Rattus norvegicus: one gene and its partner. The protein of the gene in region 1 purifies or fractionates together with the protein of each later gene. This does not show direct contact. Links are inferred from orthologs where the notes say so. Each region holds a gene or a part of one and is shown in the gene's direction. Other genes may lie near its edges.

Region 1 (3,808 bases):
ATGCCCCATCATCCTTGCTCCAAACACTCACTCTCCATCTCTAAAGCAGGAGTGAGGCAGACACAGTGCTGCCAGGGACTGCAGTGGTGAGTGCCCAGAACCCAGAACACACACCTAACTACCATAACTTCTAGGTAGAGAGAACAGGCTCTTGGAGGCCATCTATCTGTCTTTGTCTGAAGGCCATCTCTCTGTCTTTGTCTGGAGGTCATTGTACTTTTTCTTTGAAACGTGGTCTCACAAAGTTGCTCAATGGAGAAAGGGTATAGAAATACTAGTGTACTCATATGTAGAGTTAAACAATTTGATTCTCAAACTGCATTCTCTGTACAGCTCAGGTAGGCCTCAAAATTGCAATCCTTTTGCCTCATTCCTTCACTGGACCTGACTAAAACTATTTCTTTGGAAATCAATCTCCCCCACCCCCTCTGACTTGGACCACTAAAGTTTTGACTTGGGGAATAAATGTTATATTTTTCTGCCAGAAATTCAAAATGATGTCAAAACTAAGTCAAAAGTCAAAAAACTCTTCAGTGTGTTTGCATTTGCCTAGTAAATGATTTTCTTGCTGTCTATGAAATGGCTTTATGATGAAATTGTTCCTTAAAAGTAGTTGTCAAGTTATCGTCAATGTTTTATAGTCTATTTTATAATTATTGTCCTTGTATAAATTCCCAACATTGGGAATTCATAAAGATGTTTTAAAAAAAAAAGAAAGAGAGAAAGAAGAAAAAAATCGTAAATGTCCAGAAAGTTCTGTGGTTCCAATGTTTGACTGTCAATTTGAACTTTTAGACTACATTGAGTTTAACTCAGGCCAGGGCCCTTGGATGATGTCCTGCTGTCATGTTTGCAGGCAGAACTGTGTAGAAAGGTAACATGATCTAACATGGCATTTATGACATTCTTGGTATAGCAAGAAGCAGACTTACACAGGCCTGGGGGGCAGGTGTAAGCAAACCCGAAGGTCAGTGGCTTATCCAGACTTGTAACTGGGGATGGAGTGACACTTGTGTGCTTCTCTCTGACTTCCTGTGTGCCATTAAGCTCTCCCTCCTCCCTCCCCCACTCACACCCCCTATTCAACTATTGGACTAATCTTGAGTTTAGATCTTTTTCCCAGGAAGCCCTCTCTTTCCAGTGGCTGCCGCCACTCGGCCTTTGACCACAGCGATAACAGAGCCACGATACTTCTAGTTAATATGTACTCATCTCTTCCTTAATTCCAGCTGCTACCTGGGTTTACTTAGATCCCACGAATATAGGTTGGCACTGTATTCCCCTTATGATTGAAGAATCAGAAGCACCTAATCCTAAGACTTGGGCTTCTCCCCGTTTAGTGGTGAAAATGGGTTTGTCCTCAAGGTCACTTGATCCCACATACTCCCCACTTTATCTAGGACCCTTCTGCCTCTGATTCTTAAACTCTACCAGTTGCACATTAAATTCCTGGCCCTCCCAGGAGCTGAGGTCCCATGCACAGGAGTTCTCTGATCTTCTAGAACAAGAATATATTATTAACCTGTTGTTTGTGGATGTGTTCACATTTCCTTACAGGAAGGAGTGTGTGTGGGGGGTGGGGTGGGGTTTACATTGTAACAGGGAAGGGATTTATCTCAAAGGGTAGAGATAGTGCCTCAAAGACGGTGGAGATTTCTGTCTGAGACCTGTGTGCTTTTGTTTCTTAGGTTCCCCTTACTATGACAACGTCCGTCCCCTCTCTTACCCAGATTCTGATGCTGTGCTCATTTGCTTTGACATCAGTAGACCAGAAACTCTGGACAGTGTCTTAAAGAAGGTAAGTGCTAAGGAACGAGGATGTCATTTAGCACTTTCGACCATATAGGATTAGAGATGGGCGATTGGCTAGGGGGTACAAAGATTCTGAATGAACTAAAAGACTGGAAAGGACACTTCCACACCAAAACATTGATGCCGTTAGTGGCTAATTAATCTGCTTAAGTCCCTAAAACTAAACAAAATACTTTTCATGATCTTTCGTGTTTGTTTTTGGGAGAAAATGGAGTGAAAATGTAGGAAATAGCTTAACTCTTACCTGACCCTTCATTCCTTTGCTTGACAGACTAGACTCCTCCTTATGTGTTTGCCTTTGATCTCAACTCAGATATTCACCTTAATACAATAAGAGCTATTTTGACAAGGGAGTTGTAGTTTAGTTATTTTTAGAAACATGAGTGAAATTAGCATAAGAGGGATATATGTGGTGGGGCTCATCCCTACAAATGCAGCAATGTGAATTACAATCAGATATGTACTAATCAAATACTAATAAGGCATCAGTTATGCCGCCAACCATGCCTTTTATCACACAGCCCTGGTTACTGGAGGCAAAGGTGGGTCAGATTCTATGGGTGCAGATGGGACTAGAAGAAGCTGTGACAGAGGAAGCATCTTAGTCACTCACTTTGCTGGGTGCTGTTAGTTTGAGGTTGAGACAGTAGCTGTACTACACCTTCCTTTCTGTGCACTGCACTTGTGGCTAAGAGCACAGAATATCACTCAGTGGTTGTCCCTGTGGCTCTGTCCATGTGGGGGCAGAGCTGAAAGGAAGCGCACCTATGTAGAAGTCCAGGCTTGGTCCATTTGGGCTGTGTTCTTTTGGTTTCTACTTTCAGTGGCATTTGCATTTTATGTGTTCTTATTAGTTGATTTTTCCTTTAGGGTACTTAGTTGCTTGGGTAGTTCCTTATAAATAAATTTAAGGTTTGAGGCATAGCCCTCCTTCAGTTTTTGCTAAAAATTGCAAGCAGTTCAATGAAATTGAACTCTTGGTAGATCAAAGGGTCCTTCTTAGTTTGTAACACCTTTCTGTTCTAAGTAATGTATGAAACACAGGGTTGACTTTTTGTCAGATTCTGTCTGGAAGACAGACAGCTTTTCCTGCTCTTAAGGCTATAAACAAGTAGAGGGAGGCCCACAACATCACAAGCTGAGAACAGAACAACATGCCTGTCTATGTGTGGAGAGAAAAGGAGCACTTATTTCCTGATGCTTGTACTTGATGTAGTGGGTTATACATAATTTATGACAGAAAGCTTTTCTATTCTTCTACTTTGATTTTGCCTACTAACACCAAACAAATAGTGCCATTGGCCCTGTAGATAGTAATGAATGTGTTTGACATTTGTATGAGCTGCAAGCTTACGGTAACTTACTTTATCTGTGTTTTGTCTTACGGATATTAGAGACTTAAAGTAGAGAAAAAACTAAGTCTTTCAATTCTTTAGGAGAACGTGCTAGATGCCTCTAAATAATTGTGAAAGGGAGGTGGAAAGGAAAGGCTCAGTGGACAGATCAGGCACTCGGTGTGTTACTGCCCTCCATATGCTGGAGCACTTCGTGACTAGATATCATTGACTCACCTACACCTTGAGGTCTGGAGCTGTCCTCTGGTAGTCTCTTAAATCACTCTTTAGGAATGTCCCTCTTCCCTAGTATTACACTTACAAACATTTATTGCCTCTTCTGCTCTGTCAACTCCCAAAAGACGAAGCTACATCATCATTACATTCTTCCCAGGGCACCAAAGACATGGTAGGTGTGGGTAGAAGAGTCTCGAACCCTCTAGCCCCCCTCATCTGATGGTGGAGAACTAAAGTCAGAAGAAGCAAAACCATGAAAAGCTGTCTAGCTGTTTTAAATGGAACAGCTAGATTCCATGCCAGAAACAAGTTCTCGTGAATCCGGTTAGGACAGTGGTTAAATTGTAGACCAGACAGCATTGTTTGACAGTTAAAAATTAACTCAAAGGCTTCTGGGCTAGCTACAAGACTGGACTTTGTCCTGG
Region 2 (4,525 bases), on another chromosome or scaffold:
TCTGGCTCACCTTGCTGAGAATTTTACTTTGTTTGTTTGGTTTGGTTCTTTTTTCTTTCAATTTTTATTTTGTGTGTGTTTGCCTGTATATTTGAACACCACATGTATGCCTGGCGCCCTAAGAGACCACCACATCCCCTGGAACTGGAGTTATAGATGGTTGTGATCCACCATGTGAGTGCGAGGAACTGAACTAGGGTCCTAAGAATAGACAGTGCGTTTTACCATTGAACCATCTCTCCAGCCCCAATTATTAATTTTAGTGTGTGTGTGTGTGTGTAGCATGTACATGCAGATATGTCAAAACATGCATGTTAGAAGACAGTCTGGAGAGATGGCCCAGTGATTAAGAGCACTGACTGCTCTTCCAGAGGTTCTGGGTTCAAATCCCAGCAATCACATGGTGGCTCACAACCATCTGTAACGGGGTCTGATGCCCTCCTCTGGTGTGTCTGAAGACAGCTACAGTGTACTTATACATAATAAATAAATCTAAAAAAAAAAAAAAAAGAAGACAGACTTCCCCTTGCAGCTTGGGTTTGGATTCAGCAAAAGCCCTTATCCTCAGCCATCTTTATGACCTCTTGCAAGAGGGTTGAAAATCGCTGTCCATGGGGGGTTGTGGGGGTTGCATGCCTTTAAATCGCAGCACTCTCAAGGTGGAGATGGGTGGATCTCTGTGAGTTCAAGGTTAGCCAGGGCTACACAGTGAGATCCTGACTCAAAAACAACAAAAAACAAATCAGCAATGATAAAATGGCTCCCCTGGGGCTGGAAAGATGGTTCCGCGGCTAAGTGCACAGGCTATTCTTCCAAAGGACCTGGGTTCAATTCCCAGTACCCGTGTGGCAGCTTGTAACCGTAACTCCAGTTCTAAGGGATCTGACACCTACACACACAGAATATAAACAGGCAGAACACGGATATACTTTTTAAAAAGAAGAAAAAAAAGCTGTCTCTCTATTGATAATCCTATTTCAATAAACAATTAGGGGAAATTCCTCAAAGCCTTTTAGCCAGGACAGTGGTTCTCCTGAGGAAACTCAGTGGAACCTCGTGGGCTGGGCTAGAGGGTCTCTGGGTGCGGGGCTGGTAATTTTGCGAAAGTTAAGTTTGGTGCGTGCGCCGAGCTGGGAACACTAACAACTACAGCAGCAGCCGTTCAATGAGGCCACCCGCCCCTGGTCCTCCCACCTCTGCCGCGTCCTCAACCCTGGATCCGCGGGTGGCAGCCATTCCGAACGAGTGGGGGCGCGGCACGGAGCGGAGGGGTGCGGGTGCCGCCGACCCGCGTGTCTGGGTGCGGGAGGCGCCTGCTCTTTGGAGGCACTTCCGGCCGGGGCGGCAGCCGCGGCGGCGTGGCTACCGTGCAGGAGACCGCCTGGAACCGGGGTGCACCGGCGCGCGTGGCCATCACCAGAAGGGCCTGGGGGGGCGGGGGGCGGGGAACCCAGCTGGGTGGGACCCACCTGGGACACGCCCCGTCTCTCGGGGAGGCGCCGTCGGGGGCCGCCTGCTCCCCGCCCCCCGCGGCCGCCCTGCGCTCCGCCCCCCGCCCACCTGCCCCGCCCCGCCTCGCGCGCCAGGCGCCCCGGCGCTCGGTTCCCCCGCTCCCGCGCTCGGTCCTCGGCTCCCGCGCTCGGTTCCCCCACGGCTCGGCGCCATGGGTGAGTGCGGTCCCGCGGACGGTCTGCTCCCCCCTCGCAGGCTGACTGGCAGTCCCGGGGGCTCGGAGGGCGTCGCGCGCAGTGGGGGCCGGGCCTGCCCCGGGGAGGGCCTTGCTGGAGCCGGGTGGATGCCGGCCTCTGCACCCAGGACTAGCTGCAGCTGCCGGGTCCTCGCCCCTGCCCCCTCGCTGCGGCGCTCAAGCCTCCTGAAAGAAAGGGCATCAGCTTGGAGGGGGCCAAACTCACGGTCAGAGATAGAAGGGGACAGAGGTCGCCCCAGGCCCAGGGAAGGGAATGTCTGGCACCAGAGGGTCCGAGTTGGAGAGAGAACAGGGTTAGAAAGGGCATCTTGGACCCTCGGAGTCCCCCTCCTCCTGGCCCGGATTGCTTAGAAAGTCTGGGGCCCCGGGAGGTTACCAAGTCACCCTCCTGCTAGTGGGACGGAGGGAGTAGCCGATTTCCAAAGACTCCCCCCTGGAATCTGGACAATTTCCCTGGGGAACTGCACAGAAAAGGGCTCTGCAAACAGATCCCCCTTCAGATAAGTTGGCGTTTAAAAGAGAAAAGGACACTGACTTCCTTTGAAGGCAGGAGTGAGGAGTCCGCCCCACGGGTCCCCTGGCCTGGAGGACACAAGGGCCCAGGGGAGTGTGGGTGCTACCCCCATCCCCAAACTGATGCCCTCTGCTTCTCCACAGAAGACCAGAGCCCTGCAGAGGAGAAGGGACTGCGCTGCCAGAACCCAGCCTGCATGGACAAAGGCCGGGCTGCCAAGGTAGGGGGGCTGGATAGCTTGGGGCATGGGGGCATGGGTAAGTTCTCATTACCCAGGATGCTGTGGAGCCCTTACCTGGACGAAGTAATGTCCTCTGGATTCAGGAGGACTGGTTTAGGAGGAGAGGGTGTTCATGGGTCAGGGGTAGTGGAGCGGGAGACATTTCAAAACAAGGAACAGCCCCATGGGGGTCCTTGCCACTGCCTGAGGATGTGGGTGGGAGCCACAGCCCAGCCTCACAGGTGAGGAAGCAGAGGGTTAAGGAGGGAAGGGTCCCACGGTTTGGTTTGGTACCTGGCCACTAGTCCTGGGCATAGTTCTGGGATACTGTGGGGCTTGAGTGAAGCTGTGTCTATGGAGTTGACGAAGGGGAAGAGGGAAGGGGCAGTTGGTCTTAGAGTCTGAGGAGTCGGGATAAATCAAAGAGAATGGAGTCAGGGGAAGCTGTAACAGCAAAAAATATCACTTGGGCACTTCTGCCTGTGACGGGCTGGGCTCTGTGCCACACGCTTTCTGTGCCTTACCCACGGCCGTGGCAGCGGGGGAGGTGTTGTCACCCTGCCTTGCAGAGAAAGATACCAAAGTTCAGAGAGGTCCTGTGACTTGGACAAGGCCCCACGGTTCCTAAGAGCCTCCCAGCTCACATTTGTGTGACAATGGTCATCTCCAAGGAGGTATCAGCTTGCTCCTCCCTTCTGGGAGGGGTCCCAAGCTCCTTGCCACTCACAGGTGAGGCTCTGGAGAGATGGTTTGACCTAGTGGCTCTTGACTGGCAAGTGGTGGACAGGGGATCCGAACCTAGGATTCAGATCTGCAAAGCCAGGATCCCATGTTCCTGACTTCCACGCACCTTGGCCCTGCCAGCTGCGGGAGATTTAAAATGCCGCCTCCCCACCATTCATCCGGCACAGGAGGCCCATGGTCAGAAGGAACATGAGGACTGTTCTGGGGGTGGGAAGAGGAGGGGGCGGCCTCCAGTTGCCGTGGTCACCAGGCAAGGGGGCGGCTGTGATGTCAGATACAATCTGCTGGCTCCGGTGGTGCCTGGCGTTGGGCTCTGGTGTTGGCTGGCTGCCTCTCCCCCAGATTGGCAAGCAGGCTGGCCCCAGCTCCCTCAACACATCTGCTGGGAAACTGAAGCATCTGTCTGACCTAAAGGGGTGACAGAGGAATGAGACATTGTCCCATCCCTCCCAGGGCCTCCCCGGGGGCTGGGACAGGGCCCCAAGCTGCTGTGGACAGGTCTTGTGGCATGAGGAGAGGGCTGGTCCCTGATGAGCTGCTGGCCCTCTGGTCTGCATGGGACTCAGCTCAGCTCCACTGTAGTCATGGGAGAAGAGGAACAAGTAACAGTTTGGTGAGAAGGAGTGACAGAGGTCGGTCCTGATGCTTTCGCTTCTCACTGTGGTGATATGTGAGGTGCCCTGGACAAAGAAACCCCCACAGGGCGAGACTCTCTGAGTAGAAGGCATGTCCTTAATCTAGAACTGTTAGCAAGCCAAGGCCATCTGCCCACAGGGCTGCACCTGATTCTGTGAGGGCTCCCTGGGGGGCTAGGACTTGTGAGATCTGCCTCACCCCGTGGTCTGTCTCTGGACTCCACGAGTGTCGGGGTTGTCGTGGTTGTCGTGATGGACTTTCTGAAGGCCGGAGAACAGAGTGAGCAGGGAAGGGGTGTGGGCTGTGAGATGGGAGGAGTCAGCCGGGGAAGGTTGAACCGGAAGGATGAGCTTCATCAGGAGCACTCTACCTAATTCTCTGTCAGGACCAGACGCCTTGGAGACCCGTGGCTCACACTGTTGAGTTCCAGGGTCGTGCCCACTTCTTTGCAGTTGTGTGGCCCTGAGCAGCCACTGCACCTCTCTCAGTTGCCCTGAGGGTTTTTTTAATATGCATACACTGTAGCTGTCTTCAGACACACCAGAAGAGGGCATCGGATCCCGTTACAGATGGTTGTGAGCCACCATGTGGTTGCTGGGAATTGAACTCAGGACCTCTGGAGGAGCAGCCAGCGCTCTTAACCGCTGAGCCATCTCTCCAGCCCTACCCTGAGGTTTTTAAAGAAGCCCTCCGTGTAGAATGC

What was found.
Region 2: the proteins of Rnd3 (region 1) and Plekhg5 purify together in Homo sapiens (affinity purification with western blotting; 3 studies listed by BioGRID and IntAct, with this or other methods). This does not show direct contact. The link is inferred for Rattus norvegicus from reciprocal best matches to the Homo sapiens genes RND3 and PLEKHG5.

What each region holds. Positions count from the first base shown.
Region 1 is NC_086021.1:55,984,696-55,988,503, reverse strand, and holds part of Rnd3 (rho-related GTP-binding protein RhoE), read left to right. Parts: intron 1-1,688; coding exon 1,689-1,798; intron 1,799-3,808. UniProt on the Homo sapiens protein: Binds GTP but lacks intrinsic GTPase activity and is resistant to Rho-specific GTPase-activating proteins.
Region 2 is NC_086023.1:167,873,576-167,878,100, forward strand, and holds the start of Plekhg5 (pleckstrin homology domain-containing family G member 5), read left to right. Parts: upstream 1-1,596; 5' UTR 1,597-1,663; coding exon 1,664-1,667; intron 1,668-1,751; exon of another isoform or gene 1,752-1,914; intron 1,915-2,365; coding exon 2,366-2,442; intron 2,443-4,525. UniProt on the Homo sapiens protein: Functions as a guanine exchange factor (GEF) for RAB26 and thus regulates autophagy of synaptic vesicles in axon terminal of motoneurons. Involved in the control of neuronal cell differentiation.